Linked DNA regions of Rattus norvegicus. The main gene of each other region encodes a partner of the protein of the gene in region 2 in a complex. Links are inferred from orthologs where the notes say so. Each region holds a gene or a part of one and is shown on either strand. Other genes may lie near its edges.

Region 1 (6,826 bases), on a different chromosome or scaffold from region 2:
ATGTAAAAATAAGAGTGATCAGGTTATTCCATAGACACTGTTGCTTAAATAGGATAACATTATTTTAAAGTATCGTGCTCATTAAATGTTTCACTTGGGCGTTTGCTAGCAAATGTCAAAGGAGGAGAGCTTTCTCTTGACTCATGCTTTCAGAGGTTGCTGATCCCATTGCTCCTAGGCCTGAGGTGAGGGAGGATATCAGGAAATCCTTCTTGTAATAGTGATTTATCTTTTTTTAACTAACATAAAATGATATGTATGTTTGAGGCAGGATAGATGGCTCAGGGCCAGCAGTTAAGAGCTTTGCTCTTCTGCACTTACTGCAGCCCCAGGCTCTCTAACACCCTCTTCTGGCCTCCACAGTTACCTGCATATTCATGTGCACAAACACACACACACACATATGCACACATGCACGCACACACGCGCGCACACACGAACAACAAAAGATATTTTTATTAGCTATATTTATAACCTGTCTATCTATCACACGATATTTTCTTATTAACCTCCTTTTTTCTTCCCCATCTGACAGTTTCATGCAGATGAAAAACATTTTTCTTTCTGAGCCATTTAAGGATAGATTATATAGTTTTATATTTCTGTGTACTTGTTTAGGCTATTGTGTCATGAACCCAAAGCAGTTTCTGGTTTTGTGGGGGGAGGCAGTGGTTTCTTTGGCTGCTGATTTAAATCACTAGGCACTGATTAATTTGATATGTTTTGTGTTCTTTCTATAGCTCGAGATGCAGCTGTGCAGAAAATTGAGACGATTATTAAGGAGCAGTTTGCCCTTGAAATGAAGAATAAGGAACATGAGATTGATGTCATTGACCAGGTATAGTAACGATAAATTGAAAACACTAAGTTTGTGGAGGGGAAAGTATATTATTTGATGAGATTTATTTTTAAAAAATTTCCAAAAAAAAAAAAAAAACCCAAAACAGAAACAAAACCTTAAGATCTGACTCAGGGTAAAGGTATATCTGAGTGAGAGAATGCTTGGACCCAGTGAGCAACCCCATCTCCTCCTCTGGCCAAAAATGAAAGAAAGGAAAAAAACAGAAACAAAATTTTCCAATGTTGGGCATGGTGGCACACATCTTTAATCTCGGCATTCCAGGTGGACCTCTATGAGTTCTAAGACATCGTGGTCTTTATAATGAATTTCAGGCAGGTGAGGCTACAGAATGAGACTCTGTCTCAAAACAAAAACAAAAAAACTATCCTGCTGAGGGATGGGTACACAGCTGTAATCTCAGTACTTGGAGGTAGGGACAGGAGAACCAGACATTTAAGGTCATCCTCACTAATTGTATTTGAAGCCAGCCTGGGACACATGAGTCTTTGTCTCAAATACCCAGAATAAGTAAAAGTTGGAGAAAAGATAAAAAGTCCTACTTGAGCTTCCATCTCCGAAGGTAATCCTTTTTGGTATCGTTCTCAGTATATTACAGTTATTTCTTAACTAATAAATATGCTCACACTTACTTTTTTTTTGTTTCTTCGTTTTATTTGTAGGTTTTTTTTTAAGGATTTGTTTATTATGTATCATGTCCTTCTGTCTGTATGTAGGCCAGAAGAGGTCACCAGATCACTTTATAGATGGTTGTGAGCCACCATGTGATTACTAGGAATTGAAATCGGGACCCTGGAAGAGTGGCCATCTCTCCAGCCCCTGCTTTTGTTCTTTTGAGACAAGTTTTCTCTCTTGGCTGTTGTGTGAGTCCTGGAACTCAGTCTGTAGACATAGTTGGTCTCAAACTTCAGAGATCCACCTGCCTCTGCCTCTCCAAGTGCTGGGGTCAAAGGCTTATGCCACTAGACCTGGGGTATTTGGGATTTTTAAGACTTTACTGATCAGGGAAGCACACACACTGTCCCCGTCCCCAGTCTGCTCTGGGGTAGAAGTATAAACTCCAGGACTTTGCTTATATACATGAAGTACATCTCCAGCCTGAATCTCTGCCAGTTTAATTAGATGAGGAGTTTTTATTTATTGAAGCAATTCAAGAAGCTGAGTTTTTGCTTTTGTTGTTTGTGTTTGTTCTGTGGATTTTAAGTCGTTATTTGCCGATTTAAACAACATTTAAACTCTCACTTGTTTTTAGCGGCTGATTGAAGCCAGAAGGATGATGGATAAGCTCCGAGCCTGCATTGTAGCAAACTATTATGCATCGGCTGGTCTCCTGAAGGTTTCTGAGGTAAGCGTTCCTCATGGTCCAGGCTATTCTCAGCCACCATTTTCCTTGTCTTGGGGGTAATCAGGACCGTGTGGATTCCCTACCATTGAGACCTTTCTGATATTGGCCTTTAGCATTTAATAAGCCCGAGCACCTTTCTGAGGAACATAGATCACCAGGCAATTTGTTTAACATGGTCCTATCCTTTCAGTACTAATTGCTAGTATAATACTGGCAGGGAAACCTCACTGCAACTCCTCCTGGGTCTTCCTCTTTTGCTTTGCCTTACCCAGCGTGCCTTGCTCTTTCAAAGGCTACTTCTTAATGATAGTTTTCAGTATAAGAGAAAGACAAACATGTTTACATACCATGTAGATTCATCACTTTAAAATTCTATTGTTTTATTTCCTCTAAAGCATTTAAATTAAGGTCTTAGACATCATAACATTTCGGCGCTCACTATAAAACTTTTTTACTCCATTTTCTCTTTCTCCTGGCAGCCGTGTATTAACCCCAGAGTGCCAGTGGAGGACACACAGGCACAGTACCTGTAAAAACACAAAATCAGAGACTATAAAATCAAGCAAATGATCAGTAAGATAAAACAAACAGAAAACCAGATAAAGCACTATCCTGTGGGTGTCCTTCCAGGGTTTCTCTGCATCTAAGGTTCCCTTAAGGAATTAGTCCTGGGTGAGGGTTGCCCTCCGTCTTGCAGTAGGACTTTGTTTTAAATCGATTGCGTCTACAAAGACCCCAGTTTCCCCCTCCTGTTCTCTGTGTGCTCGTGCCTGTAATCAACCCCCGGCTTGCACATGTAATAGGCATATAATGTACAATTCCGTAACGATGACAGCCCTTAGGCAAGTTCTGAATATTCTGGCTGGACGTGAATTGTGGAAGCTGTGTTTTCCACAGTTCTGGCATCACTGATTGAATAGCTCAGTATTGGTTCAGCACAGTGCACATCATGAGCTGCATTTGCGTGAGATAAAGGAGGCGGTAAGCAGATGCTGACCTTGAAAAACTGGTTAGTGGTTTGCTGATTTACCACTGGGATCTGGGCCGTCTGGTTGTCTAGAAATGCACCAGTTTCAGCCCCTGGTGTTCTGATGAAGACCTACCAAGGGCTGGAGATGGCTCAGTAGTTGGCGTTAGTTGGGTTCAGTTCCCAGTGTCCACATGGTGGCTTGCAACTCTCAGTAACTTTACGTTCCGGGGATCTAGCACCCTCCTCTGTCTCCTGCAGCTGTCAGGTATCCACATGTTGCACATGTGTGCATGCACACAAACCACTCAGACAGATAAAATAAACCCTTAAAGATTAAAAAAAGGGACTGGGGATTTAGCTCAACCTAGGAAGCGCAAGGCCCTGGGTTCGGTCCCCAGCTCCGGAAAAAAAAGAACCAAAAAAAAAAGATTAAAAAAAATTCAAGAAATCTTTGGCCAGGCTTTGTGTTATAAAGCCATGTACTTATTTTAGTTTAGAGAACACACAGTACTGAGAAGCACTGCTACCGAATTAATCAGCTCTTTATCTTATTTTAAAACATTAGTCTCTTCACCCACACCACAGCTTTTGTTTTGATTAATAGCTGTGTAACTCCCTCCCCTCCCCCTCCCTCCCTCCCTCCCTCCCTCTCTCTCTCTCTCTCTCTCTCTCTCTCACTCTCTCCCTCCCCGCCCTGTGTGTGTGTGTGTGTGTGTGTGTGTGTGTGTGTGTGTGTGTGTGTGTGTGTGTGTTGTCATGTGTGCACGAGTCTGAGTTGGGATGAAATCTAGCAGCTGCAATCCTCCTGCCTCTGCCTCCCAAGTACTGAGATTCCGTACAGTAGCGCCGTGCCCAGCCAGTGATACTGGTGGTTTTTTGTTTGTTTTTGTTTTGTTCGTGTGTGTTTGTTGTTTTATTTTTTAAATCGTGTGTTTGTATCTGGGTGTGTCCACATGAGAGCAGGTACCAGTGGCGGCCAGAGGTGTCCTGATTCATTCCCTTGGAGCTAGAGTTGAAGTTGTGAGCACATGACATGAATGCTAGAGCACCCAACTGAACAACTGAACTTAGGCCCCTGAGCTAGCCTGAAGGAATGTTCTTCGTTGCTGATTTTAAAGCTTCTACTTTTGTTGTTTTTTAACTCCAGTGTGGGTTTCATTTTTTTATACTGTGTACTTTCATTGTTTGTTTTGAGGCTATATATTCCAGGCTGACCTGGGACTGAAGATGAATTTACTTACTTAGATTCCAAAGACCTTGGGATTGTAGGTGTGCGTGAGCCACAGTGCCTGTTCTATGTCCTTTTAACATCAAATCTTGCTGGGTGTGGTGGACTTACCCTGGGCTCCTGGCCTTCTTGCCTCTACCTTCTGGATGCCAGGATTACCGGCATGCTCCCAAGCTGCATTTGTGTGGTACTACAGAAAGCCTTATTTTACTTTTTGAATGTAGTCCAGGGTGGTCCAGAACTTCAGATTCTCCTGCCTCAGTTTCCTCAGTTTCCTGAGTGATGGATTCATGTGTGTGTGCCCCTACTGTGCCTGGCTCATTTTTGACTTTGAGTGTTAGAACTTTTGCACAATTACTTGTCACTCTAGTTTCTGTTTTGTTGACACAGGCTAAGTATAAGAATTTATGGGTACAGAGAGATTTTGTTCTTTCCTTTTTCTTTCATTTATTTTTGGTTTGAGCCTAGCCTTTACTAGCTGAGCCGTCTCTCCATCAGGATATGGAGAGAGATTTGAAAGGTTGTTAACATGATCTTAACGTAAGTAGAAGTTTTCAGGAGTTAGGTTTTTATCAGTGTTTGTTGGTTTAATTAAGTTTGCTTCTTTCCTTTTTCTAGGGATTAAAGACATTTGATCCCATGGCTTTTAACCACCCTGCTATCAAGAAATTTTTGGAATCACCTTCTAGGTCATCGTCTCCTACTAATCAGAGATCAGAAACACCATCTGCCAATCACTCTGAAAGTGACTCTTTATCTCAGCACAATGACTTCCTATCTGACAAAGACAATAACAGCAACGTGGATGTGGAGGAAAGGCTCTCAAGCATCGGGGAGCAGAGACTGAGCCGGAACACGGGAAGGGTACAGGCTCCAGGGGGAACAGACCTGCTGTTTATTACATGTGGGCGGGACAGAAGTACTTTGATTTTTACAGCAGAGAAAAGGGCCTTTGGTTCTTTGAGATAGGGTCTCAGTCTGGGGCTTACCAGACTAGCCTATAACTTGAGGTATCTCTTGGTGTGTGTGTGTGTGTGTGTGTGTGTGTGCGCGCGCGCGTGTGTGTGCACACTTTGGTGGCATTCTTACTTTAGAGCAAAGCACTCTAGAGTGCAGCATAGCTCTTGGACGTCATTCGTGAAGTTGGGAAAGAACCTTAAGGATTAGAGTCAGATGATTATGGCTGAATGTCTAAGTAGTGACTCCTGTAATTTGTCATACAAAATCCAAAATACACAATTCTTTTCTTGACATGGTTTTGCTATGAGGCCCTGGCCAGCCAGGCACTGATTATGTGGACCAGGCTGGTCTGGAACTGTAGTGATCGCCCTACCTCTGCTTCCCGAGGGCTGGAATCACTGCGCCCAGCTATGATAGTGTGAGTGCCTAAATTGAAGCTACACTGTGCCTGGTTTATTTGGTGTTTTATTTATCTATAGAGTCATAGTCAAGTTAGACCAGTGATGGCATAGCCACAGCTTCAGTTATAAAAGGGAACTTCCAAGTTGCTTTCCATACATTTAGACATCAATGTTTGATTTCATTTTTATAAAAACAAATTGTTATTTTTCATTACAAATTCACTTGTCTTTTGATGAAAAAATAAAACAGGAAGGCAAATTAACGCATACTTTGACACCTCATAATCAGGACTCTGAGAATTTAGATTTACTTGTGTTTGGTCAGCATTCTTTCTCTTACCTCTTAAGCTGGGATTGCAGGCCTGTGCCTCATACCTGGAATATTTGGTACTGGAGCCTGAACCCAAGGCTTGGTACAGGCCAGAGAAGTACTCTATCAACTGTTACATCCCTAGACCCACTAATTTGTTGTTGGTAGTGGTGGTGTTTTTTTTGAGACAGTCCTGGAAACACTCTTTGTAGATTAGGAAGTCCTCAGAACTCAAGTGCTGGGATCAAAGGCATGTGCCACCATGCCCAGCTCTTTCTTTACAAAAGGAAAATCTGCTGGAGGAATAGCCCAGTGGTTAAGAGTACAAGTTGCTCTTCCAGAGGACCTGGGTTTGTTTCCCAGCATCCATATGACAGCTCACAGTCATCGTAACTTTAGTTCCTAGGGATTGACACTCTCTTGTGGCCTCAGTGGGCACCAGGCATACATGCAAGCAAAACAGACATAAAAAAAATATAAATGAACAACAACAACAACAAGCACGCTGCCAGGCGTGCTGGCCCATGCCCACAGTCTGAGCACTTGGAGAGCAGACGAGAGCCGCAGAGCAAGTCCCAGGCCTGCTGGGCTGTAGAAGACCCTGCTGTCTGAGAGAGAACACTTTCTGAGTTCTTTATGCCTCCATTATGGCAGCACCCTATCGAATATTGTTTAAGTGAGCACAACCCTTGGTCGTTTCTTTCAGGACACGTCTAGTATTAGTGGCTCCCACAAACGAGAACTACGGAGCGC
Region 2 (6,826 bases):
ACTCCTTTTTTTTTTTATTTCTTAGATTTATTTATTTTATTTATGTGAGTATACCATTGCTGTCCTCAGACATACCAGAAGAAGGCATTGGATACTATTAGGGACAGTTATGAGCCACCATGTGGGTGTTGGGAATTGAACTCAGGACCTCTAGAACCACTGAGCTATCTTTCCAGCCCCCTGTGCCCAACTCTTAGTGACATGCTCTCATTTAACACCCCTAGCCCCTTCAACCATCACTTGTGTGATGTTCTCTCCAAAACAGCCACTTATTGCAGCTGTGAATAGTCTTCACTTCGTAAGTTTGGGGACACAGTCACCCTGGAATATTGAGTTTTAAGTTCTTCTTGTTGTGTGTCTACTCTTTGGCTTAACTGGTTTTTCAGAGCAGTCAGGTAGTAATGTCCTGTCCTAACCATCCCCCTCCTCAATCTTGTCTTCCAGGGACCTCTGGTGCTCTCTGGTAGCAGCTATTCCAACCCACACCTAGTGCTCGTGTTATCAACACTTGTAAACATCTGCTACCTTTTGTCATCCTCCATTCATAGGGCTGTATCTTAGCTACAAAGGTCACCACTCAGAAAGCCGTGTAGTAAGTCTAGTCACCCCTCAGTATCTGGGAGAGCATTGTAAGACTTTCCATTGATCCCAAAGTCCCCAGATGCTCGGGTCCCTTCTGTGAGATGATGCAGTGTTTGCACGTGACGTGTACTTTGTGCTGTGGTTTAAAACACTGGGTATCCAGTTGTAGCAGAGGCCAGGAGGTAGTGGTTGCTGTTGGAATGATGTGTAGGTACATATCCAGTTAGACGCAGCCATCACAGGCGCTCCAACAGGTTGGTCGCCACAGGGTGGGGAATGCTAGAGTTGGTTACACTTGCTTCAGTTAAACAACTGTCCTAGGGAACATTAAAATTCAGTTTCTTCGGGTTTTTGGTGTCCTCCACTCCCTCCCCTTCTCCTTCCCCTCTAAACATACAGGGTTTGTCTGTGAAGCCCTGGCTGGGCTGGAGCTCATGTTGTAGGCCAGGCTTGTCTTGAACTCAGAGATCTACCTGCTTCTCTGCTTCTGGAGTTCTGGGATTAAAGATTGTGATACTGTGCCCTGTAAGGTCTATTTAAATTGTGTGTGCGTGTGTGTGTGTGTGTGTGTGTGTGTCCATCCGTCCGTGTCCCAATATATACATGTACATGTGTCACAGCACCCTTGGGGAGGTCAGAGAAAGCTTTTAAGAGTTAGACTCTTCTACTATGGGTCTTTTGGGTCTGTGTAGCAAACACAAGAGCCATCTTAGCAGCCTTTGGAACTTGTAGGTGCTCTGTTCTATACCTGCTGTTGGCTAAACCCTGGTCTGTGATGGACAGCCAGGTACATAGCCAGGATTTAGATTGTGCAGACAGTGGGCAGTAAGGCCTAGCTTGAGGTAGGTAGGCCGATTTGGCCCAAGGTCTGTTTCTCTTCTCTCATATATTGAGGTTTAGACATTCTTTTGCAGGGGGTGAGGGGTTGTTCAGACAGTTTTTCTCTGTATTCCTGTCTGTCTTGGTACTCACTCTGTAGTCCATGCTGGCCTCAAACTCTGAGATTCGCCTCTCTTCTGGTCCCGGAATGCTGGGTGGGATTAGAGGTGTGGCACACATCAGAGATTCCTGCAGGTGTCTGTTTCAGAGGTGGCCTGGGAAGGCACACAGGTATTGCTCCATGTCAGCTCAATTAATAGCCTTATGTGGCCTAGCTGGCCTTACTCTCTCATGTCCCTTTCAGTGTTTGTGACCAGTCACAAGAAACGGAGCCCCCTGCGAACCCCCTGTGGTAATATGTGTGTCAGGATACACCAGTCTTTGTATGCACATTTTAAGGCCTGGTTGGCTTCCTTGGCTAGGCAGGCCCACCTCAGGACACACACTCCTTACCCAGTTGAGGGGCAGACCCCGCAGGGGCCCACTGTGCAGAAGGATATGGCAGCGAACGCTGTGCCCTGGGAAGAAGCTTTTATGTGGGCAGTTTGTTGGAGGCCTGGCTCCTCAGCAGTGCAACTCCACTTGCCAAATGCTGAGGCTAAAGTCAGCAACCTGGTCTTCAGGAGGCAGAGGCACGGCCATCAAGAAAGGAGGAGAGCATGCTTGACTGAAGAGTGAGAGGCTATCTGTAAGACCACCCTAGGTCAGGCAGCTTTCTTCAGGGGATCAGTTGAGCATTGCTGGAGAGCTTTGGGCCTCCTTTCATGTGTGGTGGAGGCCTGTATTGGCAGGGCACTGGGTGAAGACTTAAGAATGTGAACAGCCAGGGAAGGTGATGGATGTCAGAACTCTTTGGTGTCCTTCAAGAGTGATGGTGGCAGGGGCATCACAGTCGACATGGGTAACTGGGAGCTGACTGCATCTCAGTTCTGCCAAGGGTCAGCCTGTCTGTCTTCTGTGTAGATGACGACAATCCTCCGGTGTCCTTCGTGAAGTTCTCTCCAAATGGCAAGTACATCCTGGCTGCAACTTTGGACAAGTGAGTGCTTTGGTTCCCTGAGAGCGATCTCACAGCTTTTGTTGGTGGGGTTCCTCTCCTCTTGTGTTGTTTCTTCTCCCAGTTGTCCAGTTGAGCTGTTTTATATCTGTGCATTAGAGCTCCTTCCTGGGTTGTGGGCTGAGGGGTTGAAGAAAGGACTGACCACTCTAGTTTTAGTATGAGAAGGGTTTGAGGCCTAGGCTGTTCTGCCGATTCCCAGCCTCCAAGCATGTTCACGTAGCAGAATCTCACTGCCATACATGATGACCCCCTCTGGCGTACACTGTACAAGGTCTCCAAAGAACCATGCCTAGTTGGCTCTTGAGAGTTGCCTGATTGGCATTATCCTGGTTAGCCTCCCACTCCTTCCCCAAGGTCGACATGAGCCTTTTCCTGTGGAGAGAAACTGGGCGTTTCTGGAGCCAACATGGTTTTCCACATTCTGCTTCTAGTTTTGGGAAGACAGCCAGCAATCTGTTTCTTCAGTCCGTCTCTGAGCTACAAGTATTAGGGTCCTTTTGTTTGCTCTTGTGTATCGTAGAGTGGCTGAACTTGGTGAACTAAAGGATCCTTTGTCCTGATACTCATGGTTGTTGAGATATGGTGGCATTAGGGGAGGCAGGGCATGCCAAAGATGACCTGTCCTTCACTTCTACTCTCTTGTCTTTCAGCACACTGAAGCTCTGGGACTACAGCAAAGGGAAGGTGAGCTTCAGGCATGTGGCTTGTATGGCCTGCATGCCAGTCCCAGGTACCAGGTTGAGGGTGGTGTAGCTGACCCATGAGTTGTAGCAGGAGCGGCTCAGCCATCTTATTTGATGAGAGAGAATGGCACAGCTCCCTTTAAAGACATGTTTTCTGAAGGACTAATCTGCAGGTCCAAGTCTGGGCCTTGTGTATGTCTAGAATATTTTTTTTTCTTTTTTTCGGAGCTGGGGACCGAACCCAGGGCCTTGCGCTTCCTAGGCAAGCGCTCTACCACTGAGCTAAATCCCCAACCCCTAGAATATTTTTAGAATATGTTCATGCTGTGGTTGATGTGTAATACCCAGAATTTGGAATCCTCTGGAATGAAAGCTAACCGTAAGTGCTAACAGCACACACTCACCTTTTCAGTGCCTGAAGACATACACCGGCCACAAGAATGAGAAGTACTGCATATTTGCCAACTTCTCCGTGACAGGTGGGAAGGTGAGTTCCCACTGAGCTGCTCCTACCCTGCCAGCTCTCTAAGAGGCCACCCATCCTAGGTGGCTTCATGTCTTTATGAAGCGTCCCTCAGCCTATGGAACAAACCCACACTTGCTGTTTTTGGATGGAGCTGTGATGTCTTGCACTTGGATATGCTTGAAGATCTAAGATGAGGTGGTGACTGGTGACTGGATAGCTCCACTGACTGAGGGTGGCATGGGAGGCATTTAGAGTGACGACAGCCAGCTTACCTGTGCTGTCTACCCAGCATATAACCTGATGTCTTTATCGCCTGTCCTTGCTGGCTGCCTGCTTGCTGCTGCAGTGGATCGTGTCTGGCTCTGAAGATAACCTGGTATATATCTGGAATCTGCAGACCAAGGAGATCGTACAGAAGTTGCAGGGTCATACAGGTGGGCAGTCATTGCAGATGGGCCGCATGGGTGGGGGGGAGCCCCTCAGCTCCCCAAGGTGCTTGGTTGTCTCTGGGGTTTAGAGACACACAAGCAAGTGTTGCTACTCTGTTCTCCCTGCCATCCCAGCCCTGCAGGCCTGAGAGGCCTTGAAAGCAGCATCAAGGGCTCTTACCTAGAGTCCTGGGCCTGGTTGGCTTTGGGTCTTAAGTTGGACTCAAGCCTCCTGGGAGTACAGCTTGTTTTCCTCACTGGAGAAACAAGGCACAGGTACCTGGGGTCTGCAGCTGCTGGTACTAGGACTCAGCGAATATGGAGAGTGTCTAACTCACATTTCCTGGAGGCTCCCGGCTCTTTCAGGGATGTTAGTTTTCCATCTGCTGGGCAAATGCTCAGCCTTGAGTGAGTACAGCTATGGAGTTAACTTATTTTAGTTCTTGCCTGCCCACTTTCTGAAAGGGGGCAGGGATATCAGATGCTCCTTTGTAGTGCTAAGGAGTGGAGGGCTCTTTTTCTGAAAGAGCAGTTGTCTTTGGCTGGGATTGGCTTGGTCACACTTGCTGTGGAACCTGAGGGAACAGGCAGAGTTAGTGGACCTCACGTGCCATCCTTTAATGCCCGTCTCCTTGCTCAGGTGTGTGGTCACCTCTTGCTCAGGTAGAACAACCTCATAAATAGTGGGCAAGTGGGCGTAGTCAGCCCTGAGACCAGTGAGGAGGCCAGGTAGACAGAAGTGAGGACCCTTGGATCCTCACCAAGCAGAGCAAGGCTGAGGTTCTTGGTGCTATTCCTGGCGTTCTGAGCATCCCCTAAGTTGTGCGGTGCTCCTGTGGGTGGTGAGGCATGTGCTGCTACTGCTTCTCCTGGAGTGACTGACTAGCTCTGCTTTCAGATGTCGTGATCTCCACGGCCTGTCACCCAACAGAGAACATCATTGCCTCAGCAGCGTTAGAGAATGACAAAACAATCAAACTGTGGAAGAGTGACTGCTAAGCCCTGGCTCCATGGGAGACTTCAGGAAGCCACCCAGATTGGCAAGAAACACATGTGGGGCAGAGGCGTGGGGCCAGGTTGGGTTGACAGGCTTGGTGCACCTCCTCTCTGAAGATGTCGGGCCAGGGGCGTGCATATATACCACCGAGTCTTGATAGCCACTGTGATATTTCTTGCCAATTCTGTCTCTGCCTGGGGAAGTTCCTGGTCTGTTCTGTGTGCTCAGAGGCAACAAATTTTTTAATTTTTTATTACAAGAGTGAGTCCAACTCCTCATGGGTTGTTTTTCTCTGTAATTGTTGTTTTGGTATTGTATTGCCCAGTGCACACACTGGAACAGGACCTACAGCCCTACTCCCATTCCCTGCCTCCAGCCTTGGCCTGCTTGTTCAAGTTCCCTACCTGTAATAGTACCCAGTGTGCTTCCATGAGTTTCTGGAAACACAGAAAGGTTGTAAGTTGTATCTGTGTCAAGTCCCTTTGTTTTTTTGGAGTTCATAGGTCAACACTGACCTCTCAGTGGTTGCAGTGTCCCCTTGTCTCACTGGTATCACTCAGTAAAGCCACACACTGTAATAAAAGGTGGGTATGGACTGGGTGTGGCCCTGAGTTCTGACAGAGCTCTTCACATCTGGGCTTTAGAACATACCCCCTCCCTGCAGGAGTTGGAAAAGTCTCTGGGAGGTGGGTTCTGCTGGGCCTCCTCTTCCCAGTGGCTGTGTTGGCACTAAGTGTTTCGAGAGGAAGAACCTCAGTTGAGAGAGTGGAAGGAAGGAAGTCTTGGAAAGGCACCATGTAGTGAGGTTCTGGACCCTCTTTATCTCTGAATGAGGCTCAGGGTCACCTGTGCAGGAGGGAGAAGTTCAATTTGGTGCTTGCCTCAGCAGATACAGCCTCCTGCCTTGGCCTCTGAATCCACCAAACCTCTCTTAGCCCTTGCTCCAAATGGATCCTCAGGTGACCAGGCTAGAAAGAGATAATGGCCAAGCTAGAACTGCACAGCATTTTCACAACTGCTTCTGGCCAAACCCAGGTGGCCTGACACGAAGCAGACTGCAGAGGGTCTGAGTCCAGATGGGTGGGCAAGGCTGCTGGGCACAGGCACAGGCAGAAAGGAGATTCTGGGTTTGCTCTGGTTGTGGCAGCTTGCGAGGTCAATACTGATACGTATTGAAGCCAGGTTGCCCTGGTCAGTAGCTGCTCTACTCTGCCTTTGCTGAGACCTGTCCCCAGCTGTGGTCCTCTTGGCCCTTCCTCCGCTCCATCGTGGCACAATTAAGAATCCAAAGGTGTTGGAAAAGGACCCCCACACACATACATACCAGTACATTGTCTCTTCCTTGAGGGAGGTGATGTGCACATGGACTGTCACATTGAAGAAGCCATTGTAATAGGGTGGCTTGTCACACTGACGTGGGTTCTGTGGCCCCTGGCATCTATGGGTAGATGTGCCTGGGTTCTGGTCAATGTTGTGGGCAGGTTGCTGGGGTTTCTGGAGGGGTGGTGAGGTCTTTCCAGCTGTGGCCCGGTGTGCGGCCCCTCCTGAGGGAGGGAGCTTGCTTGCCATGTTGAGCGCAGTATCCCCAAGTATAGTTTATTTTTTCTACAGTTGAACTCTGTTGTAGATTTATGTAAAAATACATTCTCTTTTTAAAAATAAAGATTTTCATGTCTTGTAACTTTGTTCCATTTTTAAAGGAATTAATTTTGTGTGCATACATTAGGTGTG
Region 3 (5,887 bases), on a different chromosome or scaffold from region 2:
TCAAACCTTTCAGAACACTGCTGAGTATGGCATTTAGAATGCTTAGGTTTTCTGCCATTCCCAACAGTAACCTCTGAGGTCTCCAAGAAAATGGAGCCCTGCAAAGATGAATCCACCTGGATTGTGGGAACACTAACCACTGGGGAAAACTTCCTCATGCCTCGCCTGTTGCCAGGTTCTGTGCAAACACTGGACACCTATGTCACCTAACACCGAACACCTAAAGCCTGTGTTAGCCAGGATTGCCACTAAGCTTAGTCTAGCATGGTTGTCCCCTGAGAAGCTCCATCCAGCAGCTGACTCAGACAGACAGATGCGGACACTCAGCCAAACAGTGGACAGAGCCTGGAGACTCTTCTGGAAGATTAGGAGGAAGGATTGCAGACCCCAAAGGAGATAGGAACTCCACAGGAAGACCAAGAGTCAACTAACCTGGACCATTGGGGCTCTCAGGAATGAACCACCAACCAAAGAACATACAAAGGCTGGACCTAGGCCTCCCTGCATGTATGAAGTAGATATGGGTCCCAAACAACTGGAGTGGGCACTGTCCCAAAAGCTGTGGCCTGTACGTGGGATGTGTTCTTCTAGCGGGGCTGCCTTGTCTGGCCGCAGTGGGGGAGGATGCACCTAACCTCTCAGAGACTCGATGTTCCAGGGCGGGAGAATATCCAGGGGGCCTCCACCCAACCAGAGGGATGGGGATGGGGATAAGGGGATTGTGGGAGGGGGTGACTGGGAAGGGGCAGCGAGCAGAATGTAAATAAATAAATACTAATTGTTACAAACGACTTGTCATATCTCTACACTACAGTTAACCTTAGATTCCATAGGCAATGCTTCATGCTTGACAGTGTCTAACTATAATTTCCAAAAATTCCCTTCTCAGAATCCCACAATATCACCCTCAGCCTATCCTATCCAAAAGCCTACTTGGCACTGCAGGGAACCTGGTTAACCTGTACTTCTGTACTCAGGAAAATGCATGGCCTCAGACTACAGAGGTCCTGCCTTGCGTTCCAGTTCACATTTTCTCAAGGTGTGCACTTACAAAGGCCCCAGAGTGCTCCACCAGGCTCCTTCCTGGCTTCCGGCCACCATGCTACAGACTCTTACCAACCTCTACCCTAGTAAGACAGCCAGGCTGGAAGAGCAGCCCTAATGACTATTTTCTTGGTAAGAGATGAACTTTCAATGCCACAGGCAGCTCAGAAGCATCTCTGGTGATATAGGACACCCACAGCCTTCCACTGGAATGCGTCGCACTCAGGATGAAATCTCTGGGACAGTTCTACACAACTGGTGGGGGCAGATTTGCTGTTTGTGTTTGGGGAGATCTAGGTGTGTCCTTGGGGAAAGCTGTTTCTATGCAGGCTATCAGTCCTCACTTAAAACACCTTTGAAAAGGTCAAACAAAGTCTAAATAAACATCAGAAGGAGAGATGACAGTTCCTGGTTCCATGCTGGTTTGATTGTAGTCCTTATATATGGGTCTCAAATTTCCCTCGATCTCCTCCTAGGACTTCTGCTCCTTGAGCTTCGTTTAACCGGCCGTGTTAACCTCCTTAAACAACTAATAGGCTCACTCACAAGGGCCTAGGACACTCTGAGCCACCCAAGATAATGAGTCAATGCTTTGACTCATGGAAGAGCAGTGGAGAATAAACCAAACTAACCCCGTGCTGCTTTAGCTGACTCCATTTTGTGTGCTTCCTACACCCACCCTCCCAGGCCTCACTAATCACAGCCTGCTTAGCAGGACTTTCACAGTGCTGACAGGATACCATTATACCAACACAGGGGCCTGATGATTGGACTTCCCTCAAACAGGTCATACTCTCATAGCCAAAGGGAGGACAGGATGAGTCAGCTCAGTACTCGCAGCCTGCACATTTCCCACAGCCTGTCTAAGTACAGCTACCTTGTCCTGGGTTTGGGACCACAACTGAAAGTGGAGACTATCCAAAGATATTCTTGTTCAAAATTTTATTAACAAAACCTGTTTATTTTGGGGGAGGGTATAGGCAAGGCTGAGTAAACTTGACTTTCACCCAGCACTGACTATGGAGAGGAGACAAAGGGAAAGCAGAGACCCTTCTGATAAGGGCAAACAGAAGCCAAAACATGGATGGTAAGAAGAAAACTAAGGGTGGTAGAATAAACAGATGAACGGAGGAAGAGCGAGCTGAAATGCAGAGCCCCTCCCTGACTGAATGCAGGGCTGAGAGGCTCTGGGCTGGTGACTTTCAGCGGTCAGCACTAGAGCGAAGGTCGGTAGTAAGTGGATCGTGTTGGATGGTTTGGTGCAGCATCAGGGCAAGCAATCCTGCTCTGTTGGTCATGGCTGTGCGAACATTACGTTCCTGCTCAAACAGCTCGTCCAGCTTGTACCACTGCCGAGGAAGTGGAGGGAAGCATGAGAAGCAGCTCCCGGAGCCCGGGACTCTGGTTACCCCAGTGTTAAACCTACCACCCGCACGCGCTCCAAGTCCACTTCTGCTCGCCGAAGCTTCTCCCAGCAGTAATGGCGATTACACTGGCGCTTGGGCAGGCGGCAGAAGTCACCTGTAAGCTCAAAGACATCGCGTACAAGTGGACACCCACAGACCTCATCAGCTGGCACCTGCAGAGACAGCAAGGCAGGTGTGAGCAGGTGAGGGGAGTCAAGAGGAGACAAAAGAGTAGGCGTGGGGGATGGTTAAACAGAAAGGGCGGGAACGGAAGCTGACAGGAAAAGAGAAGGAAGAAAGAAGGGAGGAAAAGAACGAATGGGTGTGAGACGTGAAGCAGGGTAGGACAGGACGCAGGGGGTTTGAGGAAAAACCTTACTTTGGGGTCCCGTGAGTGCTCAGGACATAGCACCTGGAGCCTCTTACAGTATGTTTTGCTCTGAGGATTGTAGACATCACAGAAGAGTCGGGTAGCCCTGTGGGATTAACACAGGATATGGCCTTGAGTAGCTCCAAGAACACGTCAAAGGCCCCAGTTCCACACATAATCCTATTTCCCACCCCACCCTCACCACCCTGCTCCTACTCCACACGGCTTACTCACCCCTCAATGCGTGTGGGGTACATGGACCCAAAGGATGTCTGGCTCTCATACTGGAAGGATGAACACAGATAAAAGGAAGTTGGGTGCCCTCTCATGACACTACCCAAGCAACCAATCTGTCCCTGTGGGCCCATAGATACCCCCGGCCATCCACTCCCTTAGCCTCCTGACCTTAGCATAGCAGCGCTCCATGTGACGCAAGGCAACTCGGGGGTTGATGGGATGCCCACAGGAGACACAGAAGATCTGCAGATCGGTGTCATCGCTGTCATTCTCATTGTTCTGCATAGGTTGAAAGGAAAGATGAGGCCAGGCAGGACGCCATACCGGGTCCTGCCCACTCTACCACGTCTTTACCTCCTCGTCCTCTCGCACAGCTTGCTGCTTAGCACGAAGGATGATGGCCTCAAGCTCGTGGAATCTGCGCTCCATTTCCTGAAGGCGGGTGCGGGCACTCTGCTGCTCACGGCGGATCCGTTCAAGGAGCTTCTTGCCGTGCTCTTCGGCGATGCAGGGGCTTTGCTGCCATTGCTGGATTCGCTGGGGGAGGATCTCATAGATTCGGCTGCAGGGAGACAGTGAGGTGCAGGCAGAGAGGCACCAGAAGCAGTGAGTGAGCTGACCAAGGGACAGTGAATGATGGGTCACTCAAACAGGTTCAAGGTTGAGTGACTGGGGGGGTGGGAAGTGGGGTGGGGACTGCATAGTGGCTTCGTGTGCCCATGGGGTTTTGATTGAACAGTACCTAGACAACTAACTGTAGGTATACGGAGGGAAGTCTGGCCGTCCCCTACTCTGTACTTCCTGACCCCTCAGTGCCCCAGGGAAGACTCACTTGGCTGCCAGCTTCATGCCACAGTCATCTGAACAATACTTGGACCCAGGCTGGGCGGCGCGCACACAGCCAGGTCCCAGGCACTGCGGTAGAGATGCAGGGTCCTTGGCATCGGCCCTCTCTGGGTGTTTCCACTTGTCTTTATGTTTCTGCTTCTGTCGGTGCCGTTTGTATCTCTCCTCCTTCTAAAGGGCAAGCCACGTCATGTCAGGCTTCCACAGAGGTCAGCCTCAGACCTTGTCTGCCTCTCCAAGGCTCCAGATGTCTGGCTGTCTCCACCTCCCTCCCCGCGCCATCCTCTTCCTTTAATGCCCATTTTACCCTCTCCATCACCTTCTTCTCAGACTTCTTCTCTCGACGCTTCACATGCTTCACTTTTACTGCCCGCTTCCTCAGTGCAGGATCCAGGAACGGGGACTCTTCTGCGTCACTCATCCATGGCTGCAAGCAGGGCATGCGCTGACCCACCTGATGACTCGTTACCACACCTGCTGCTCATTTCCCAAGCAGCCTGTTCGCCCTCTGGCCCCCTCCCCATTCTACGACTTCACCTTTTCCCCTTCCTCCCCACCACAGGATGACCATGTTACTCACTACGTGATCATCAAAGGCCCCAGCACAGAAATCCTGGTACAGATCAGGGTCCAGTGCTAGGTCCTCATCTGAGAGTGGCTCAGGTGTTGCTGTAGCCTCTGGTGGCTCCTTAACCACTGATGACAACACTGTCCCCTCATCTTCACGGATACGCCCCAGCTTCTGGGATTGCTGTGGCTGCTGTTGAGTGGGTGGTGGCCGGCGGGGCCTTGGCAGGGCCTCTGAGGGTGTCACCGGCGAGAGCTGCGGGGCAGAATCTCAGGACTGGCCCTGACCGCCCTGCCCGCAGCCCTGCCCCGCCCTGGGGGGCTGGACTCACCGAGGAAGGGAAGTACTTGTACGATTCCTGTGCGCAGGAGGAAGGCCTAGGTCAGCCCCAGGAAAATAAAGGTCTTCCCTGTCCTAACCCCATTTACTTACCCTGGCCTTGCCTGGTCTAACAAATGCAGTTTTCCCCTCCCCTCACCACAGATATACTCCATCCTACCCCATGTGTCCTGGCATGCTTGACAACCTAAAGCTATCATCCCCCCCACCCTACCCCCAGCTTTCCCCTGAACTTGCTAGGCCCCTCCCACATGTCTGAACATAACCAAGCTCCACCCCACCTGTACTTTCTTATTTGTAGCTCAAGCAGCCCTACTTGAGCCTCCCAGCCATGCTCTCCTATCTGATCTTGCCCAGCTCTGCCCATGCTCACCCGTGCCCGCAGCTGACACTGGCGAAGCCGGCACTTCTGCCGGATCTTGTTGGGGCCCCCAAACTTCTTCATGTCACGACAGAAGTCACAGTGGCCACAGTCCTCAGTGCGTCGGCATGCCTCACACTCACCACACATCCGAGCTGACCGTTTGATTTGCTGCTGCTGCTGCTGCTGCTGCTGTTGCTGGTGATGCTAGGAGACAGTATCCAGGGTAGAGATGAGGATATAGATGAGGCCCAAAGCAGAACTTTCACCCACCCCGAGCACTGTGGCTACTCACCTGGCTAGGTGTGGCCACCAAGGGCTGTGGAGAAGATTTGTGGGGCGAAGCAGAGCCCCGAGCAAGCATGGCCCCAACCCCTGTCCCTGACCCTGCCCGGCGCTGCAGTTCTGGATCTGAAGCAGGCCTCTTGCGCCCTCCTCCCTCATCCCGGGGCTCACTGCCGTCCCGCTCACTGCCATCCCTCTCCCGGCACTTTTTGTGGCGGTAACGAATCTCCAGCTTCGGGTCCTTCTCTGTGAGGCAAAGAGTGGAGCCAAGGTGGGTTTGGAGGAGAGGTTTGAATGGTCCCAGAACCTCTTTCTCTTTTCCTGCCCCACCTACTTGTCCAGCTCACGCTATGGGAGAGCTGCCCCTTCCTTTGGGTTCTTCCACAATTGCTCACATTGGAGCTGGCCTTCCAATTCACCACAGACCAACG

Evidence for each region.
Region 1: Wdr5 (region 2) and Yeats2 share a complex: the UniProt entries of both Homo sapiens proteins name them as parts of the ADA2A-containing complex. The link is inferred for Rattus norvegicus from reciprocal best matches to the Homo sapiens genes WDR5 and YEATS2.
Region 3: Wdr5 (region 2) and Cxxc1 share a complex: the UniProt entries of both Homo sapiens proteins name them as parts of the SET1 complex. The link is inferred for Rattus norvegicus from reciprocal best matches to the Homo sapiens genes WDR5 and CXXC1.

Annotation. Positions count from the first base shown.
Region 1 is NC_086029.1:94,313,671-94,320,496, reverse strand, and holds part of Yeats2 (YEATS domain-containing protein 2), read left to right. Parts: intron 1-740; coding exon 741-838; intron 839-2,111; coding exon 2,112-2,204; intron 2,205-5,020; coding exon 5,021-5,266; intron 5,267-6,779; coding exon 6,780-6,826. UniProt on the Homo sapiens protein: Chromatin reader component of the ATAC complex, a complex with histone acetyltransferase activity on histones H3 and H4. YEATS2 specifically recognizes and binds histone H3 crotonylated at 'Lys-27' (H3K27cr).
Region 2 is NC_086021.1:31,247,955-31,254,780, forward strand, and holds the end of Wdr5 (WD repeat-containing protein 5), read left to right. Parts: intron 1-2,424; coding exon 2,425-2,500; intron 2,501-3,171; coding exon 3,172-3,205; intron 3,206-3,616; coding exon 3,617-3,691; intron 3,692-4,016; coding exon 4,017-4,104; intron 4,105-4,996; coding exon 4,997-5,097; 3' UTR 5,098-6,758; downstream 6,759-6,826.
Region 3 is NC_086036.1:70,089,871-70,095,757, reverse strand, and holds the end of Cxxc1 (CXXC-type zinc finger protein 1), read right to left. Parts: intron 5,703-5,887; coding exon 5,467-5,702; intron 5,379-5,466; coding exon 5,184-5,378; intron 4,830-5,183; coding exon 4,803-4,829; intron 4,727-4,802; coding exon 4,484-4,726; intron 4,331-4,483; coding exon 4,223-4,330; coding exon of another isoform or gene 4,211-4,222; intron 4,075-4,210; coding exon 3,890-4,074; intron 3,620-3,889; coding exon 3,412-3,619; intron 3,337-3,411; coding exon 3,226-3,336; intron 3,105-3,225; coding exon 3,055-3,104; intron 2,927-3,054; coding exon 2,830-2,926; coding exon of another isoform or gene 2,624-2,829; coding exon 2,471-2,623; intron 2,394-2,470; coding exon 2,247-2,393; 3' UTR 1,972-2,246; downstream 1-1,971. UniProt on the Homo sapiens protein: Transcriptional activator that exhibits a unique DNA binding specificity for CpG unmethylated motifs with a preference for CpGG.